Elephas maximus indicus: one gene and its partner. The protein of the gene in region 1 purifies or fractionates together with the protein of each later gene. This does not show direct contact. Links are inferred from orthologs where the notes say so. Each region holds a gene or a part of one and is shown on either strand. Other genes may lie near its edges.

The links.
Region 2: the proteins of tubulin alpha-1C chain (region 1) and TXNDC9 purify together in Homo sapiens (co-immunoprecipitation; 3 studies listed by BioGRID and IntAct, counting the BioPlex papers as one, with this or other methods). This does not show direct contact. The link is inferred for Elephas maximus indicus from reciprocal best matches to the Homo sapiens genes TUBA1C and TXNDC9.

Annotation. Positions count from the first base shown.
Region 1 is NC_064822.1:104,672,324-104,682,876, forward strand, and holds the start of tubulin alpha-1C chain, read left to right. Parts: upstream 1-6,006; 5' UTR 6,007-6,126; coding exon 6,127-6,129; intron 6,130-10,553. UniProt on the Homo sapiens protein: Tubulin is the major constituent of microtubules, a cylinder consisting of laterally associated linear protofilaments composed of alpha- and beta-tubulin heterodimers.
Region 2 is NC_064835.1:86,450,423-86,460,724, forward strand, and holds the start of TXNDC9 (thioredoxin domain-containing protein 9), read left to right. Parts: upstream 1-6,306; 5' UTR 6,307-6,448; intron 6,449-8,839; 5' UTR 8,840-8,869; coding exon 8,870-9,058; intron 9,059-10,302. Other genes in the region: EIF5B (eukaryotic translation initiation factor 5B), read right to left, coding at 4,851-4,885. UniProt on the Homo sapiens protein: Significantly diminishes the chaperonin TCP1 complex ATPase activity, thus negatively impacts protein folding, including that of actin or tubulin.

The DNA of each region.
Region 1 (10,553 bases):
TGGTTATTAATTACAGGAAAGATTAGAAAGAGCTTGGGGAAGAAGGGTTAGCTATAGTGGAAATATAGGAGAAACACAACCTACTCAGTTGTTCCAGTTAGTCACTGTGAGAAAATGATTCAGAAGCATTGTAATTTTAGGGAATATAAAGCAGAGCAGGACAAGCCAGATGATATCTCAGTGGAGAGAAAATGTGAAATCTCAGAGATGAAAGCCAATTTTCTCTGGTAATCCCCCAGAACGGGGCTAGCATTTCACACACAAAGTCCTGAAGAAAGGGAAGTAGACCAGAACACTCTGTTCAGATTAGGGAGGAAGAAAATTTCGAAAGAATTTTCAAGAATGTTATAAAGTTTGCAAATACTTGTAGGATAAAAAAAAAAAAAAAAGCAGTAAATAAAAGTTAAAGGATCAAAGGATTATTTTTCCCAGAAAAGGTTATCGAGAAGTCCTGCTCCCCTGTATTTACAGGCTGTAAAAAAAAACAAACTGCCTTAAAATGTATACATTTAAAAAATGCTTATTGTAAAGGAAAAAAAAAAAACCATTGCCATTGAGTTGATTCCTGCTCATAGCAACCCTATAGGATAGGGTAGAGCTGCCCCATAGGGTTTCCAAGGAGCAGCTGGTGGCTTTGAACTGCCAACCTTTTGGTTAGCATCCACAGCTCACCATAGCTCTTAATATTGTAAAGAGGGTGGTTGAAATTAACTGTAAAGCGTCCTAACTCTCCCCTGGAGTTCTTAAAAGTAGGATAAATTCCCTTTTTTCTTGTTGGATTAGTAGTAGCCTTGCCTTCAGATAACAAATTCAATAAATGATTTTTCTAGGTCTTTTTTTTCCCTGTGAACCAGAGCCAGTACAGGCTGAGGAAGGCCCTAGAGGTAAAAAAGGCAACTGTCATTTTAGTCATTTGCTTTGGGTTCTACTTGTGGCATAGGGTAAATTATTTCCAGTCTCGGGACCTTAGTTCCCACAGTTCCATAATAAATACGTTTGTAAAAAACTTATTTTTGCCATCAACAGATGAATAAACAAAATGTGGTATATCCATACAAAGGAATATTATTTAGCCATAAAGACAAATGAAAGTCTGATACATGCTATGACACAGATAAACCTTGAAATATTATGCTGAATGAAATAACTCAGACACAAAAGGACAAATATTGTATGACCCCATTTATATGAAATATCTAGAATAGGCAAATGCACAGAGATAAAAGTTTATTAGTAGGTTACCAGGTGCTGGGGGTAGGGAGAATGGGGAGTTATTGCTGAAGGGGTTTTGGGTTTCTTTTTAGGGTGATGAAACACTTTTGGAAATGGGTATGGTGATGGTAGCTTAACATGTTAAATATGATTAATGTCACTGAATTATACACTTTAAAACAGCAGACTTTTTGTTATATGTATTTCACCACAAAATTTTAAAAAACCACAACACTTCTTTTTGAAGATTTTCCTAAGGCACTATTGGTGTAGAAAATACTTTGTTACTATAAGTTGCTGTGTGAGCACATATATCATTATGACTCATAATATAACATGTAACATATAAATTCTTCAGTGTTACTAGTATCCTAGTACAGAAAACAGGAGTTAGACTGAAGAAACATAAGGTTAGCTTTAAGTTCAGTTTCATCTGAACTCTTTTTTCTCTTTACTAATGTTTTGTGGACATGCTGTTTGCAAATTCCCCTGAGCCAGAGTAGGTATGCAATACTTCTTCCCCTAAAGCTTTGTAAACTCCAGCAAAAGCCCCGGCTGTCAATATTTATCTAATATACTGATGATTCTTAGGAGGCTCTGACGGAATGAAGCATGTTCTCAGCTCTGCTGATTGTTACACAGCTCACATATAGGGCAGGAGCCTTGAGTAAGAGCATCACAGAAGCTAGGGCCAAGGAGGCCCTATAGGTGATCTTTATCTTGCACATGAGGAACCTGGGGCCAAAGGAGGAGAAATGCCCATCCAAAGTTACATAGCCAGCCAATGGCAAATCCCAGGGCTAGGTCCTCTGTCTCCTTGTGGATAACGCAACATGTTTTTAGTGAATTGTGGGGAGTTTCAGCTAGAAAGTAAGATAGGTTTCTGCCGTTCCTCACTCAGTAATTTTTAGACCCAGAAAGACCTGTCTGTTTACATTAAGGCTAAGTTTTTTAATGTCCACCAGGAAGGAGATTTTTCCCAAAAATATTCCAGCAGAGGGCAGCAAGCTTAAATGTGGATCCTAGAGCTTAAAATGGTTTTAAAATGAAAGAGGATGCCTTTTCATCTCTAATTTTGTCCACCACCATTACCTCCAACAATAAACAGCTACCAATTTTATCTTAATGCTTTACTATGTGCCAGGCACTGTGTATATGCTGTGTGATATTTATCTCATTTAATCCTCCTAACAGTGTATCTACCTATGAGTTATGTTATCCCCATTTTACACACGAGGAGATTTAGAGATTAAGAATTTGCCCAAGGACCCACAGCTAGAAAACAAAAAAGCCAAAATCCAGACTGAGGTTATCAGAACTGCAAAGCCCTTAAAACATCTCATGGTTCCTCAGGGGCTGTCTGCTTGAGTATGAGGTGCCGCCTGGTGAGAGGAAGAAAAAGACGTTAATGAATCATACTAAAATGTAATCTAAAAACAAATTTTAAATTTTTATTTTTTTTTAATGTTTTTAAAAATTGCCACACTGGGCTGTTCCAATCATGGTCACCAGTGACTTCCATGTAGCTAAGTCCAGTGGTCAATTTTCAGTCCTCATCCTGCTTGAACTTTCAGTAGTATGTGATACTGCTGATCACTCCTTGGTGATCAGGACTTGGTTTTTTGACTTGGTTTGCAGGACCTTACACTCTTGGTTTTCCTCCTAACTCATTGGCTGGTCCTTTTTAGTATCCTTTCTCTGGTTCTGCCTCTTCTCTCAGAACTCAGTCCTTGGTCCTCTTTTCTTCTGTCTACACTCACACCCTTGTGTTCTCATCCTGTGGCATGACTTAAGATGGTATTTAAATGTGTATTTCTACCCCAGATCTCTCACCCTTGAAATCCAGACATGTATATTCAACTTGTACTAAATATCACCTCCACATGGAAGTTGACATCTCGACTTAACAAGCCCCTAATATCCCCCCTCCAAATCTGCTTTGTTCGCAGCCTTTGGTATCTATTGATGGCAGATCCAGCTCTCACTCACTCAGGCTAAACACCTTAGAGTAATCCTTGGCTTCTCTTTCCCTCACAACCCACAGGTAAGCCTTTAGGAAATCATTTTGGCCCTATCTTTACAATGTAGCCAACTGCAACCACTTTTCTCTGCCTCCCCTGCTACCACTCTGGTCTGAGTCTTCATCATCTTTCAAATAGATTACTGCAATCGATATCATCTTACGATATCTCCCTGCTTCTACCTTTCCCCTCCAGAATGATCTTTTTAAAAACTGAATCAGATCATCTCACTTCCCTGTTCCAAATCCTACAATGGCTCCCCACGTCAGAGTAAAAAATGCAAGACTTACAGGAGCTTACAAGGAGCTAAAAGAGGTGGCTCCCCATTTCCTTTCTGACCCGTCTCCTACAATTCAGTATTTCCAGCCATTCTGCCCTCCTTGGAACCCTGGTGGTACAGTGGTTAAGAGCTCAGCTTATAACCAAGAGGTCAGCAGTGTGAATCCACCAGCCACTCTTTGGAAACCCTATAGGGGCAGTTCTACCTGTTCTATAGGGTGGCTATGAGTTGGAATCGATTCTTCAGCAACAGGTTTGATTTTCTGCCCTCCTTGCTCTCCTTCTAGGAACACTGAAGGTTCACTCTTGCCTGGGAGTCTTTGCTCCCAGGTGGCAGCTTGGGTAACCCCTCTTGACCTTCAAATCTTTGTTAAAATATCAAGTTTTCATTGAGTCCACTTTATTTATATTGCAACCTCCCCTGCTCCATCTCCCTAGCACTCTGATTTGTTTTTGCTTTATATTTTCCCATAGTACTCTTCACCTTCTAACAAATTATATAATTCACTTACTTTTTACATTGTCTTCCCTATCTCTCTCTAGAATGTAAACTCCATAAGGCAGGGATCTGTTTTGTTCACATATGTATCCCCCAAGCACCTAGAAACTGTGCTAGATATACTTGTGGAGGGAATTAAAAAAAAAATTTTTTTTTAATTCTTCTGAGACTAAAACGTTTAGTAACAAACCAATTTATTCCAAATTTCAGAATATCCTGGCACAAAATAGATGCGTAATAAGCATATGTAATTTGTGTGTAATCTGGGCACACATTTCCAAAGCATCCATTTTATGTGTAAGAGTTGGAATTTATTTTGAGTTCTGTCTATTCTGTGTCCAAAGCCCAGTTTTGCTTTCATTTTGCATTTTTCTACTTCAGGAAGAAGCCCTGTAACTTCTGTTTAACAGTCAGTTTTGTTCTCTGAATACGTCCATAAACTCTATCACCCAGAGATGGTTAAGGAATTTGATTAAGAGCTAAGATAATGAAGTTGCAGAGAAAGAAAAACAACTGAAATAAAGGATGCTTCTGAGAAATAACCCTTTGGAGGGATGGTCAGAGCAGTATATGCAGGATAAAGCAGTAAATGGCAGCACTTGAGTGCACTCACAGATCTGGGGTCTAACTTCAATTCCATCAATTTCCCCAAAAAAACCCATTGCCATGGAGTTGATTCTGGCTCACAGTGACCCCATAGGGTTTCCAAGGCCACATCTTTCTCCCCTGTGGAGCCGCCAGTGGTTTCCAGCCACCGATCTTTGAGTTAGCAGTGACTGCTTTAACCACTGCCCCGCCAGAGCTCCTGCTCACCTGATATTGATTTGTCCGTTTTCTCACCTATAAATAGTAGTAAAAATGCCTGTTTGAGTACCCTGCATTTCTACCCCGGATGTACTGGACCAATCTGCATTTTAACAGGATCCCCAGGTGATTCTTAAGTATAATAAAATTTGAGAAAGGCTGCTCTACTTGTGGGAGCCCCAGTTGGTGCAGTGGTTAAAAGTTACTGAGAGCGACGGCAGCTAATTAAAAGGATGGCAGTTCCAATCCACCAGCTGCTCCTTGGAAACCCTATGGAGCAGTTCTGCTCTGTCCCATAGGGTCGCTATGAGGGCAACAAGTAGGGCTCTACTTGTGGTTCTCAGAATTGGTCCGACTCTCAGGTCAGCACCATGAACATCACCTGGGAAATTGTTAGGAATGCAAATTCTGAGCAGGGGCCCTAAGCAGAAAGAACCGGTTTGAAGCCCCGGTTAGCACCTACGCGAAGAGATTGTGAGTTGTCAGGGACCAAAGGGTTCATTTAAAGAGAAGGTAGGAAAACCAGTAAGAAAAGCAATCAAAAAGGTGGGAATAAGATTCAAAGCCCCTTCGTGAATAATTAAGGCCTAGAATGGGGAGCAAGGCCTTCGCTCTCGGAAATCTCTCAGCTGCGAGGGGAGCCAGCGCCCGGCTCCAGGTGGGGGCTTTCCAACCGCGCCCGGACGCGCCGAGAAGGAAGAGGCGCCTTTCAGGCGGTGTAGGGAGAGCCGGCAGCGCGCAGGCCAGGCCTTGTAGGGAGTGGAGCGGAGGTGACTGGCTGGAGGCCACGCGGACTCCCCCTCCGAGGGTCCGAGGCCGCCCAGACTTGCCTGGCAGTGGGAGGGGCTTCCCTCCTGGCCTCCGGCCGCTGCTCGGCTTACCTGACGCTCTCGCTCCCTTGGGCTTTGCCCACCTGACACTCCCCACACACCTCGAGGACGGTGTAGATGCTTCACTTCCTCCCTCCTCCTCCCAATCGCCTACTCTTTCCTCTTCCCTACCCCACCCGGTCCATTCTCTTGCCCCGAGGGTTACTCCTCCCCTTCCTAGTTCTGGCTCCTTACAAATAGTTTGGTTTGAACTTTTGAACCCACCAATCAGAGCCGCTTGCCCTCCCCTCTCCGCAGGCCGGGAGGAGCCGCGCGGCCGGGGCGGGCCCACGACGCGTGGCCGGGGGAGCGTATAAAGGGCCGGGTGGGCCGCAGCCTCTCCCTACTTCTCCCCCGGACTCCTTGGCAGTCTGTTAGTGGGAGGTTCCTGCTGCTAGCCACTCGCCTTCTCTGTCCCCGCGGGTCCCTTAAGAGTCCCGTCATGGTGAGTGGGGACCCTAGGATAGCGCGGGCCGGAGCCTCACCCCGGGCTCGCGGTACGGGGAGAGCGCGCGTTCCGAAGGGCTGCAGGAGCCGCAGAGCCACCGGCTGCACGTGGGGCCGCGCCCGCACAGCTCCGGGCTCCTCTGGCCAAACGCGCGTCTGGTGGCCGTACTGGGGTAGCGGGGTTCACCGAACTTGCCCTCCACTGGAAACCCTGGTGGTGTAGTGGTTAAGAGCTACGGTTGTTAACCTAAAGGTCGGCAGTTCGAATCCACCAGGGGCTCCTTGGAAACCTTATGGGGCAGCTCCACTCTGTCCTATAGGGTCGCTATGAGTTGGGATCCACTCGACCGCAACGGGTTTGGTTTTTTGGGTTTGCTTCGGGCCGGAAGGCGCGGCCCAGGCACTGTCCTCGGTGGAAGTGGAAAGCCCCCTTGGTCCAAGGGTCCGCCACCGCTCAAGAAAGGGCAGAAGGTCTTTACATTGGCCCCCAAGGATCTGAGGAAACTAAAAATCCTACCCCCTAGTTTCCCCAAATGACCTCACCTTCCTGCTGTCGTACGCGCTGGGCCCCGGAAGTTGAATGGGCAGGTTGTCTCTGGTACTTCCCGCACGGAAGGTGCGAACGCTCCTGGGCGCCCCCTCCCCAGCGCCCTGTGACTCGCTGCTGAGTCACCTGTGGCCGGGCTCTGGCTAGAGCTTCAATTGCACCATTCCACCTGAAGGACGGAGGCGGGCCCGTCCCTTGAAGGGAATAACTAAGTCTCACAGGTCTAATCCTACGTTTCTAGTGTTAACTTGGAAACCCTGGTGGCACAGTGGTTAAGTGCTAGGCTGCTAACCAGAACGTCTGCAGTTCGAATCCACCAGGTGCTCCTTGGAAACTATGGGGCAGTTCTACTCTGCCGTATAGGGTCGCTATGAATCGACTCGAGCGCAATGGGTACCGAAATGTTAACTTAGTGAGGTGTTTATAGCTGAAAGTTTCCACTTAAGGGAGATTTTTAAAATGAATCCATAAAAGGGTTTTGTATAAGACCAGAGTAAACTACCGCTGATTATTTACGCTTTCAAGACACATGAAACTGTACACAACTGGAATATTTTCTATATAGCTACCAAAGGTGTTGGGAAACAACTATCTTGGACAACACCGGGCCTACTTAGAATAAGCCATGTTTTTAAACAAGGATTTGTGTTTCAAATGTTTCTTAAAGTATCTAAAAAGGGGAGGGATGTAGTAGTGAATAATCGACCAGTTCCTGTCTTCGGAGACTGCCACAGCTAACAAAAATCTGAATACTGTAACAACTTGTCTGGGTGCCTTTGAGCAAGCAAGAACAAAAAGATACTGGTAAAAGTGTGGTTCAGAAAGTAGTGGGCTTGTACTAAAGGGCAGGAAAGCATTGGCCACGGGTCTGCTGGTGCTTATTCAGTTCAAGCCATACTAAGTAAATCCATCACCTGTGCCTTATTCTCCCAAGTGGGCAGGGGGGAGAGGAGGGCAAACAGTGGCCACTGGCTTTGCCTGCTCAGCTTCTAGGGAGAGTTTAGACTGGTTAGCATTGAAACTTTTTGACTCAAAAAGTTTCAATGGAAGAACAGCTTCTTTAGGATGAGAGGATCTTCTCCGGTACCTTTCTTTGGGCCTGAGGGGTGTTATGAATGGATCTCTGGTTCTTTACAGCTTTCTGGGGCTGTGGTATTTCCAAAGTCCATTTAAAGGTAAACATGATGCAATGGTAAATAGTCATGGGCTCATTAGAACGAACAACTCATTCTCCCACAGCCCTGGAGCTGGACGAGTAGGCACAGGTAATACTGAGCTTGCCGATGTGGTCAGGACACCATGATTGTTTTATGGGGAGTGTAGGCGGGAAGGAGTGATCATAAGTTAAAGGTTGTGAGTGATTCAGGGGTTGTATTATCTTGGGTTATGAAACTAGGCCCTTTGAGAACTTAGCTGGCTGTTCAATTTTCTTTAGTTTCTTATTAGCAGCTTTTAAAAACTTGAAACCATACTATTCAGGGAAAAATGTAATGGGACATTTTTGGTGTGGATATTTTGAAAGTCCTGTGCCAGTCTAAAAAGTAGCTAATCTGGCTGCTGATGAGATAAAATAAACAAGCTTTATGTTTTTTCTGTGAAGTCTGTGGGTATAGATTCTATGTTAATTACCTTATTTTTGCTAGGTAGGAATGATTTTCTACCTTCTAAATGACTGTTCAGCATGTAAAAAGGAAAATATTTCTCTGATATCATCAAATTCTTGAAACCATAGGCTTTTTGTCACAACAGCAGAGAGATATATACATTTTACTAGAGAGCAGCTAATTTCTTAATTTCAGTGATGACACTTACTGGGAAACCCTGGTGGCGTAGTGGTTAAGTGCTATGGCTGCTAACTAAAAGGACAGCAGTTCGAATCCACCAGCTGCTCCTTGGAAACTATGGGGCAGTTCTACCCTGCTCTGTAGGGTGGCTGTGAGTTAGAGTCAACTTGACAGCAATAGGCTTGGTTTTTTGGGGGGCGGGGGGGGGATGACACTTACTAGGCTTTATTAACATGAGTCAATGATTTGTTGATGATGAAGGAAAAATGTTCTTCCTAAAGATTAAATTCTCCTATAGGTTGCCTCTGACCACACCGTTCAAATACAGCTAACTGCTGCTCATCTAGCACTTTCTCCCTGAGTCATATGGCTGTAATTTGCTGGTTTTAGAGGGGGGCAGAGAAAAGCTCTTGTCTTTTTAAAGAATAGAATTAAAGAGGGACTAGAATAAGCTCACTAGTTACACAATCACACAGGAAATGAATCAGCTGGAAGGGGAACTTTGCATGAGTTTAAGGAATCAGCAGGCATATTTCCGAAGAGCAGCTTGTCATTCTAACATGGTAGAAACCTGACCTTCAATATCTAATGTGGCTGCAAAGCAAGGGTCTGGCCTAGTGTGGGACCAAGAACCAGATTTGACCTTTTGCATCTGCTTTTCTGAAAGTAGCCTGAGCAATTAAGGAGCTCTTTGTCTTTTTAAGAAAACCCTGGTGGCATAGTGGTTAAGTGCTACGGCTGCTAACCAAAGGGTTGGCAGTTCAAATCCGCCAGGTGCTCCATGGAAACTCTATGGGGCAGTTCTAGTCTGTTCTATAGGGTTCCTATGAGTCGGAATCGACTTGATGGCACTGGGTTTGGGTTTTTTTTTGTTCATCTTTCTAAAAGGGGCCCCTGGTTGCACAGTGGCTAAGCACTTGCCTGCTAACCAAAAGGTCAGCGGTTCAAACCCACCAGCTGCTCCACAGGAGAGAGATGTGACAGGCAGCTTCTGTAAAGATTTACAGCCTTAAAAACCCTTTGGGGCAGTTCTACTCTGTCCTGTAGGATCGCTGTGAGTCAGAATTGACTCGACAGCAGTGGATTTGGTTTTGTCTTAAGTAGCCAGGCAAGTAGGGGCTACACAGGCTACCCCCCCTCCCTGTACCTGGCAAGCCAACTTTGGGGTGGGGAGGTATGATGCAGTCATGCATATTCATTCATTGATTAGGTTGATCATAAGTATGCATTAAGGCTCCCGTCATGCATATTCACTGAGGTTCCAGTGACTAGGGAACCATGGACCTTGGAGCTCTCTTTTTGAGGCCTAATGGATTGGTGAGAATATCCGTGCACTGGATAGAATTTGACAAGTTCCTGGGGACAATGGAAGCTACCCGCAGGGATCTCTCTCAGACCTTGCCTGCTGCTTCCCTTTGCTTATACCCTTTCTGGTTATAAATTTTTTAAATGTAAGAATTAGGTAACAGTCTCCATGAATTTTGTGAGCCATTCTAGAGAATTAACGAACCCACAGGGGCAATGAGCCAGCAGGGGCTAGCAGTTCACAGCTGATTTGTGTAGACCCAGCTCCAGGTGGCTGGACGATAAGGAAAGGCTGCACGGGCAGGTGATGGAGAGTCTTCTAGCTTGTGTCCTAGTTCCAAGGGACTAGAAAGAAGGGAGGTCAGCTGGTCTGAAGTGCAGGGACTTGTACAGACTTCTGAGCCTAGGGCTGGTCCCTGATGACCTGGCTTCAGGTGGCCAGGAATGTTTTGACCCAGCTCAGGATAGCTAGGATATCTAACTGTGGGTAGTTAGGGTCAGAGAGGGAGGAATTGCCATGGAATTGATTGGCAGCGAGGTATAGTGGTGATATGGGAAGGTGAGGCCTGGATACAATCCCGGCAGAGAATTGGGTTCATGCTGACCCTTGCCACAGAAAAAAAAAAAAAAAAAAGTGGTAAAGGTGGGGTTTGCCTACCTTGCCCCTTTAGCACGGAAGTTGGTAGTATCATACCTAGTTTGTCATTAGCATAATCTTCAGTTTTCCAAAGCGTTTCTTCTGAATTAGGTCTTCATCAAAGATTGGTACTTGTGAAATAGTCACTG
Region 2 (10,302 bases), on another chromosome or scaffold:
CACTGAAGACTGGAGAGGCCACTAAACGCTATCAGCAAAAGTTCATCATCTGTTTCGTTACCCATCTATGGAGAACTAGGACTTCTTCCCCTCCTTCCACATACCAACCTCCTAACGTGATAGGAACAAGCTAGCCCAAGAGAACTCTCAGGCGATGCATCTTTTTATTATTATTATTATTATTATTATTATTATTAATTCAAATACATCCAAGTGAGAAATAAATACCTTTATTGGTCTAGACTATTTGCCACCTACTGGAAACCCGGGTAGTGTTGTGGTTAAGTGCTACGGCTGCTAACCAAAAGGTGAGCAGTTCGAATCCACAGGTGCTCCTTGAAAACTCTATGGGGCAGTTCTACTCTGTCCTATAGGGTCACTATGAGTTGGAATCAACTTGATGGCAATGGGTTTGGTTTTGTTTTTTTTTTTTAATTTGTCACCTGAAGCTCTGGCGGTGTAGTGGTTAAGAACTACAGCTGCTAACCAAAAGGTCGGCAGTTCGAATCCACCAGCTGCTCCTTGGAAACTCTATGGGGCAATTCTACTCTGTCCTATAGGGTTGCTATGAGTCGGAATGGACTCAAGGGCAACGGGTTTGGTTTCAATATTGTTTGTCACTTGGTCTGCTCCCTCTCTAAGAAACTTCAGTTGCTGTGTGCAGTCAGGTCAATTCCAACTCGTAATGAGACTATAGGACAGAGGAGAACTGCCCCATAGGGTTTCCTAGGCTCTACGTTATATGATCTTTATGGGAGCAGATCCCCAGGTCCTTTCTCTCACAGAACCGCTGGTGGGATCAAACAGCTGACCTTTCTGTTAGTAGCTGAGCGCTTAATCGCTGTGCCACCAGGGCTCCTGGAAGCTTCAGAGTGCCTGCTATACTCACAGCTCCTTCTGCACAGGCTCCTTAAGCAGATCGCCATGTTTTCTACCACAAGGACCCTGCTAACCTGATCACACCTGACTGACCAGAATGAATGTCTGCCACTGAGGCAGTTCTTTAAACATGAGGCAACCGTCTAAGTGAGCACCACAACTCCTAGGAAAGGAGGGAGTTGGTCAGTGATGATAGGAACATTGCTGCTGTGTTAGGGGCCGTCAAGTCGGTCCCTGGCTCATGGCACCCCATGCACAACAGGGTCGGAGCGTTGTGATCCGTATGATTTTCATGACTGATTTCTCAGAAGTAGGAGATCGCCAGGCCTTTCTTCCCAGTTTGCCTTAGGCTAGAAGCTCTGCTGAAACCTGTTCAGCATCACGGCAATGAAAGCCTCCACTGACAGACGAGTGGTAGCTGCACTTGAGGTGCACTGGCTGGGAATCAAACCCAGGTCTCCCATACACCTCTAGTTAAAAGCAGAGGAAAAATAATGGAGTCACTATACTGGCTCACCACTGCTGTAGGGAGCCACAGCAACAAATAACCTGATAACTGAAGGCACCCCAGAACTCTGCTGAATCCTGAAAGCCTAGCTCCTGACTGGCATCCACACCTCCATGAGATCTGACAGTGGACAGGTGAAATGATTCTTTTCCTTCCCTCTATATCCTAAGAGCAGCAGGGAAGGTACCTTCAAGGGCTGTATTAATCCCATTACCTAAGGTAACATGCTCGCATTCCTTATAACCTGAAAAATTTAACTACCACACTTAGTTGAGGCACCAATTTAAAACTGACCCTTAAAGAAACAAGAACAGAAAAAAGTATAGACTAATAGAAAAAAGGTAGACAATCCAGATGCCTTCTCTGCACACATCAGGAGGAGTGCATCATAGCACAAGAGCCCCTGAGATAAGGCCCCATTATGTAAATGAGACTGGAAAGGTCACAGGAAGGAAGTGAAAATACTGCCTTATATCTTGTTTGATCTGTAGATCCATAAACCTATTCCTCATCTCAATAAAAGTTGCCCAGTCGACTGAAAGAAGGCAGGCAACTTGTTGAACACCATAAACAAAATCTCATTCTCAGAATTACACAAGCTTGAGCAGAATTCTGGAACTTGTTTTTTTAAACAAATGTCAGTCACTGATATAACAACACATATGCTATACCAATAAAATCAGATATTCAGATTAAATAAATCTGATTTTAAATGAATACTGAATGGCTAAGAATTTAAATGTAAGAGTTAACTAAGCATAAAGCATAAGGATATAAAAATTAAGAACTGTTGAGTATTTTGTGTTCTTTCCAAGAAGTGAAAAGTGGGTCAAGGCCTTATCTTGATAAGGAATAAGCAGCTGCTCTTTTCCCTCCCAGTTCTCTCTGGCTGGAAACATGGTTGGCTTTGGACAGTTTGGGAGGAGGCAAGAGGGGAAGGGGGCAGAGAGGAGGTGGGATGATGGTAAAATCTTTAAAGGGAGGATCTTCATATAAGATAGTAAAACAAGATAGAGTATCTCATTATATGCAAATAGGAGTATTAATCTTAAAATAGGACTTCCCCCTTCCAGACTTTCTTCCTATGTTTTTGTTCATTTTACAAATATTCAAAATAGCCTTGAAAACCAGTACTATTTAAACATAAGCCAAGTTGCCGCCAAGTCAATTCTGACTCAAGCCAATGACAAACTAACTGGAAAAACAGTGGAATTTCTCAGCTCCACTGCCCTCCCCCCGACACCCCAAATATCTTCCATGGAATGCCACTGTAAAAAAGCCAAGCAATTCTTGTCAAACCTCTGCAAAACCCTAGGATTTCTCAGACACAATCTGAAAGCCACTCCAGCAAAGGAGTCCATGAAGCATTTAAAAAAAAAAAAAATTACAAAGTTTATATTAGCATATGATGAAATAAGCGTGCACGTTTTTCAGTTACATCGCCACCACTTTCCCTTCAACATGAGCCAAAGAAACAGAGACTACAGATGAGAGTTCTTTTTGGGGGGTTGGGGGTGGGGGGAGGAGGCAAAACCACTCCTTCTCTACTGCCAAACCAATCCTTTAATACGGCCTCTTGTGTCTGCAAGGAAAACGTTACACCATCCAAGAGAGACTTTATGAATCAATCAGAGACACTCACCTTTCTCTAAAAACACAGAGACAGTAATCAATATCCCCCCAGAATGGCTTTTTCCACTCTGAAGGATCCGGAAAATAAAAAACTGGTAGAAGAATGAGTGAATGAGTAAGTAAATAAATGTGTGTGCATTCTAGTCCAAACAAGCCAACTGTAAAAACAAAAGTGCTTTTTATAAAAATCAGGGAAATTTGAGTACTGTCTGGATATCTGATGATATTTAAGAAATCATTGTTGATATCCTTTAGGCTTAACTATGACATCGTGTTTGTTTAACGTTCTGTTTCTGCAGTTTTCTTTTTTTTTTTAAGAAGTGTTCATCTTTCAGACATACACCTGAAAGATTTACAGAAGAAAAAATTCTGAGATTTGCTTATGATTTCCAGCAGGCGGTTGAAAGAAAATTGGCCATGTGCTAACAATGGTGGAAACTGGTAATAGGTACGTGAGGCTTTACTATACTCATCTATTTTTTGCGTAAATTTGAAAATTTCTTCCAGTGGTGGGGGGGGAGCCTGTGCATCAAAAAATTCTGTCAAAAATTACAGAAACTTGTGTTCCACTAAATCAGCCAGAATACTGCCTGTTTTCTTCTTACTCTTCAGATTTGATTAACAAAAAGTTCTAGTATCCAAACTAACTTCCTCCAACAGACCCGTAACTGAAGTATCAGACTCACCTTGGTGTCTTTAATGCCACTCATCAGCTATATGACTGCCTGGTGAGGCACTAACCTAGGATTCCAATTTATAATCAGTAGTCTTATTTCCACTTCAATACCAAATATCCGTTTTGCTAGGATGAACTGGCACTAACCTAGGATTCCAATTTATAATCAGTAGTCTTATTTCCACTTCAATACCAAATATCCGTTTTGCTAGGATGAACTAGCACAAGTTCTTTTTATTTTTAAAGCTTGTTTTCTCCCCGGCATTTGGAGTAAGTTTGGTGGGCAGTACACACAAAGGAGAAAAATTAACAGATGTTGCTCACTCCCGAGAAGTGAACCCTTTCAATGAAAAGGGTAAAAGGACGCAATCGAACGTCACACACAGAAATGTTCCAAAAATCTCCCGGTAAGTAACTACCGACTGGGTCACCCCCAAAGCCTGTTAAGCGGTTAAAAAGGAGCGCCCCTGGTTGGTTTGTTTCATCTCCTCCTCCTTTCTTAGGGGAGGTGCTAGAGAGCAAAGAAATGACCACAAGACGGGCCGGAAAAAGGAACGAGAGAAGCACGGAGCGCGGACAGGCAGCTCTGTGGTCCCCGAGAGTTGGCTCCAGGTGAGGCCAAGTTCAGGAGCGAGCCCACGCACGGCGCTCCGACTTCAGCCCAGCCCAGCAGGGCGCGGAGAGCTGCGCACGTCGCTCAGACTCCGACTGCCTTCTCGCCCCAAGGACTGCCAGGTACAAAGCACAGGAAGAATTCCTCCCGACCCGCGCCGTGGGGACACAGGGAGCTCGACTCCGCCAGCAGCGGCGCCGCGAAAACAACGCCCACCTGGCCGGCCGGGCTGGCCCGACGAGCCCTCCCAGCCGGCCGGGCTCCCCAAACGCCCGCCCCGCTCCCCAGGCCGGCGCCGCCGGGGACCCCTCTCCGCCAGGCCGGAGAGGCAGCGGGGACGCGGAGCCTCGCGGGGACGACCGAGGCCCTCCGCGCCTTCCGGCACCGGGGCGGCGGAGCTGCCCGTCCCCTGCGGGTCCAGGCCCGCGACCCCTGCGGCTCCAGGCCCGCGCCCCCGGCCCGGTCCGCCCCGCGCCCGCCGGGACCTGCGCGCCCCACCGAGCCGCGGCGGCCGCTGTCGCGCGCACCGAGCCACTGCCTACCTGTCCTCGCTCTTGTTTTTCTGTTTCTTCCCCATCGCGTGTCAGCGAGCCTCGCGGCCTCGGCCCTTTCCTTCGGTCTGTCACAGACCCACTGTCCCCCGGCCGACCGTGCTGTCCGCTCGGCTCCGGCCCCCCTACGCTGCCGCCTCTCGCTCCCGGCTCCCCACAGACCCGCGCACCGGGACAGGGCACATATGGTGTGAGCGCCCAGTGCGCAAGCGCGTCGCCCCGCCGCCGCGGCGTGGGGACGCAGGGCGCGGCTCATCGAGAGCGGCGCCTCGGGTAGAGCGTCGCCTGTGGAGCCGCTGGCTGGGCGGGAGCCCGCGCGCCCCCTGCCGGCAGCGTCGTCCGCGCGCCCACAGCCGCGCCGCTGCCGGGTTCTAGAACCACAGGGGGACAATTAGGTGGCCAGTCCCCACGTCAGCCCCTCTCCGCGGGGGAGGACAGACTTGGGGGATTGGCATTCGGTTCACAAAGGGACTTTTACTTCCACCTTTTAACCGCTGTGCCTTGTATTCCACCTTTTAACCTCTATACCTTGTATTCCAGCTTTTAACCTCTGTGCCTTTGTAGTCTCAGCGGCAGGAAGTTCAGTAAAGAACCGTAATGAGCTGAAGACGAACTCTCTGGGTATTCCCAACGGAGAGACATCCAGGGCAAAAGTGGGGTCTTTCAATAGCATGCGTGGATTATGAAGTATATTCACTCACTGAAGAAAACATGTAACGAGGACACACGACCACGGCAGGTTGCCACCCAGCCTGTTCTGACTCGCGGCCACCCCGTGGGTTTCAGGGTGGACCTACCCCATAGGTGGCTGCCTTTCAGAAGCGGAGGGTCAGACTTCCTTCGGAGGCGCCTCTGGGTGGGTTTAAACGGGCGACCTTTCATAGTAAGGAGCTTAACCGTTTGTACCACCCGAGGACTCCTGTACCCATTAATGGCCCCCAAATCGGTTGTGATCTTTACATTTAAAGTAAGAGTAAGTCCCTAAAAGTTAGTATGTTAGGGAAGTCACTAAGGAACCTACTAGGGTAATGAGAATGTTCTACATCTTGATCCCGGGAGTGGGGTGCTACGACAAGTCTCACCTATGTAAAAACTCATCGTGCTGTGCAAGTTAGACCTCAAGTGTTTAGAAAATGTTCAATAAACAGAGAACGCAAACGGAGACTGACTGTCAGTCCTGAGCAAGATCGCCGCTATCTCATTTCTGAGGAAACGTGATAATGACTACTGAGGGACTGTGCTTAAGAAAGCCGGGCGCCAGGCTCAGTACTGTAAAAACTACAACTCCCAGCGTACTTCGCTCCCTCTTCCGCCGGGCAGTTCACCGGAAGGGAGGCGAAAGATAGGCAACCACGGGTCCCGAGGTGCTTCGGGTGGAGGGGGCGGCGCGCGCGCAGAAGCGCTCGCCGCACGAGCCGCCCCTCCTCCTCGGGTGTGGCAGGTTGTATCGCGAGAGGACCGGAGCCAATGAGGAGGCGGAGAAGACGGCTGGCTCACGGCCGCCCGCCGCTGCTGCGAGGCTGTAGCGTTAGTGGGCCGCGTTCGTGGACCGCCTGCTCCTCCGCTTCCCAGGCGCACCGTGAGCTCAGGTGAGTGAGGCGGAGGGCGGTGTGGGAAAACGGGCCACCTCGTCCCGGTGCTGATGGACACACGGCCGGCCCACAGCCTGCAGGCCGGGGAGGGGCGCGGCCCGGCCCGGTGTCCGTGCGCCCCCGGAGGGTGGAGGTCGGGGTCCCCGGAGCGCTGCCCTCATTGGTGCCCGGGGCCTCGGCAGCGGTGAGGATCCTCTGGGGAAGGCCCCTTGACTGTCCTGGCGGGTGCCCGGAGGGAAACTGAGGAAACGTCGGGTAATGTGGGGACAAACTGTGTCCCTTCCCGCCCTTCCGGCTGTGCTGGAAAAGAGAAGAGTCGGACGCTCATGGTTGGAGAATGAGTTACGGGACCGCTAGACCGTCTCTGTGAGCGTTTTTCCTTTCTGAGTGCGGTGAACCTCGGGAACAGAGGCTGTTAGTCGCTTCTGTTTCCATTTCTTCCAAAATGAAATTCTGGGCTCATCCCGTGAAACGTCACGGGGAAGCTTCGCTGCGCCCCTAGTAAGAACAGGTCCTGGCGCGCAGCGCAGTGTTTAGGACCCAGTTTCTGCCTCGCCTGGTCCCCGCGCCGACCGACGTGGTTCGTGGGAGGCCCGGGGTGGGAGGAAGTGAGCGTTTATTTGAAACACAGCTTTTTTTCACTTTTATAGCATAATAGCATGTTAGAGGAGCTTACGATTTGGTTTTTTAAACTCAGAAATAGGTGTGTTTTGACACTTAGGGCAATTTGAGGGGAAGCTGGGCGCGTGCTCATTGAACGTGGAGCAAGGAACACCGCTGTGTTCCGGGCGCTGTGCTAGCTAGCTAACTCTGGGAGGCAAAGATGAAATTGGGTATACTTTTCAACTGCTTTTCTCGTAAAGAAAAAGGAATTACAAGTGACGTTTGCAAAGAGGTTATTTTTCTTCAGCTCAACAAACATTTATGGAAGGCTTCTGTGTGGGCCAGACACTGTCAGAAGCTGGATGAATAAGTTCAGAATTTATTCAGATTTTCTCGGTGCTTCACTACTGTATGAAATATAGTTTACCAAGATGGACAGATTCCTGCCCTCGTAAGCAAATGGTAAATCTTCTTTCTGTGATATTTACCCAAAGATTCAGCTAGACAACACAGAAAATTGCTTGTTGTGGGCCAAAAATAATATTGTTTGTTTTAAAACATATGTAGAGATAGATCTCCCTTTCTAATCTGAATTAGTTAGGTTTTATAATACTTTGACAAAACGGACAAATTTTTAGAGCACTGTTTTACAAAGGGAGCCCTAGTAGGGCAGTGGTTAAGAGCTGGGCTGCTAGATAAAAGGTCAAAAGGTTGAATCCACCAGCTGCTCCTTGGAAACTCTATGGGGCAGTTCTACTCTGTCCTGTCCAGTGGCTGTGAGTTGGAATCGATTCAACGGCAATGGGTTTGGTTTTTTGGTATTTTACACAAAGCAGTGTTGATGGAAAAATCAATTTTTTTTAAATCTTTGGAGTGTTGTGTTGTTTCACATCAGAGTTAAGAACACAGACTTATTAAATCAATACCTGTTTCAATTTTTGTGGCTTTGTGTATTTGAGTCCCTGAGTGGTGCAACCAGCTGTTAAGCACTTGATTCTAGATGAAAGGTTGGCAGTTCAAATCCACCCAGAGGCACCTCAGAAGACAGGCCTGGTGATCTGTTTCTGAAAGGTCACAGGTTTGAAAACCCTATGGAGCAGTTTTACTCTGCACGCATGGGGTTGTCGTGAGCCAGAATCAACTGGAGGACAACTAACAACAACAAACACTTTGTTAGTAACGGGAGAAAGGGAATGGAACTGACATCTGTGGAATCTGGGGCTCTGTTCTTGACATACATTGTTACTGGGTCTCTTAGGGCCTAGAGACATTAATCTTGCTTGAGCAGAGACCGTGAAAAAACTCTGCCTTCCGTTCAACTCTGCTGTATGTTGAAGTAAAGTTTGATGTGTATGTTTATGTGAAAACCTCAGTACAGTTATACCTTGCTCTTTCACAGTCGTTTATGCTTTCCTTCCCTTTTCCTTTGGTAAAGAACACTTATGGTCAGTGCACGTCACTAGGTATGACTCCCAGCTTTTCAACTCTCTTTGGTCTGGTGATGCTCTTGAATACTTCTCTTTGTTTTGGTATATTAAAACAAACTAAGTCAGAAGCATCCTAACTTCACTGTATATAGTTTTTGAGTTGTGTAACTATAACCAATTGAAAATTAAATTTTAAAACATTTAAATAGAAATTCTTGAGCCTAAAGTCAAGTGCTTGACTAGAAGCAGAATACTAAGTGCCATACAGATTATATACTTACTAGAGTTTTTGAGAATGGGAGGGAAAACTTTTCTTATTGTTTGTAATTTTCTTCTACTTTTATCAATCTTGCCCTAGCACCAAGGCTGAACTGTGCCATTTTGAAGAATGGAAGCCAATGCATCTGTTGACATGTTCTCAAAAGCCCTGGAGCACCAGCTGCTTCAGACCACCGCGCTGGTGGAAGAACATCTCAATTCTGAGATCCAGAAACTGGATCAGATGGGTGAGGACGAACTGGAACGCCTCAAGGAGAAGAGGCTCGAGGCGCTGAGGAAAGACCAACAGCAGAAACAAGTAACCTCTCTGCCCTGCTTTCTGAAGTTGCTGTAACAGGGTGCTCCTAACAGCTTACATACACATCTGCTCTAGTGGCTTACATTTTCGTCCTCAATTTTTAGTGAATTTGGAACTGAAAGTACTTAGGACTGTTAAAAATTTAGTCGGGGTGGGGAAAAAAAGCATTCAGAAGTTAGCCTAATTCATGTATTAATCCAGAATCAAGTAAAAGAGACAGATCCTGCTCAAAATTATTTCCAGAGCTCAGATTTTTTTAATTGAGGAGAGGGTGGTCTAGGAAGAGCAGGGGAGCTCTAGGAGTCAGTAGTTTCCATTTCAGGTAGCACTAACCAAAAACCAAACCCGTTGGCGTTGAGTTGATTTGACTCATAATGACCCTAGAGAACAGAGTAGAGCTGTCCCCTAGAGTTTCAAAGGAGTGACTGATGGGTTTGAACTGCCGTCCTTTTGGTTAGCAGTCATAGCTCTTAACCACTGTGCCACCAGGGCTCGCAGGCAGTACTAAAGCCTGTCGTAATTTAGCCATCTCCAAAGCAGGAATGACAAATAAGAGCTGTAAAGCAATTTATGTTGAAGAAATTACCCAGGCACTTCCAATGTAACAGTTTAATTATACGGCTTATTGAAAGAATTCATGCTGGTCTCAAGGTAAGGTAGTCTCAGCTCTTTCCTTGTTGTCCCGTAGAGTGTGTGGAATAAACTCATAGTTGTAGACTCTGAAAGGAGTTGGGTGAGATTCTGTAAATTGAATTTTTATAAAAAATGTGCTTCCATTGGTTTAAGTTACATTGAAATTCCTCATCACCTTTGATTCATCTTCACTTGGCTGCAGCTGAAACGTGAGTCTGAAGAAACAGGCAGGGAGTTTTGTTTGTGCTCTTGTAGCACTTCTGATGTGTTACACCCTCACTGTTAAGAACAGTTGCTACAGAAATGAAAGAATCTTTCATATGACCGAGTTCAAATTTTTGTATCTTGAGTTTTCTAGAACAGGATGTATTACATGGTTTTGAAATCATACTCCATCCTATTAAGAGAATGCTAATAATTCATAAGCAGAGGACAGATTTTTGGAACTGAAGGGTTTAAAATAGTACTGTATATGATTCTTGACAGCAGTGGGTTTGGTTTTTTGTGTATGATTTGCTATGAGTCAGAATCAATTCGACAGCAGTGGGTTTTTTTTTGTATACGATTAGACTCTGCCACAAACTCATATTTTGTGATCACAGTTAAGTACA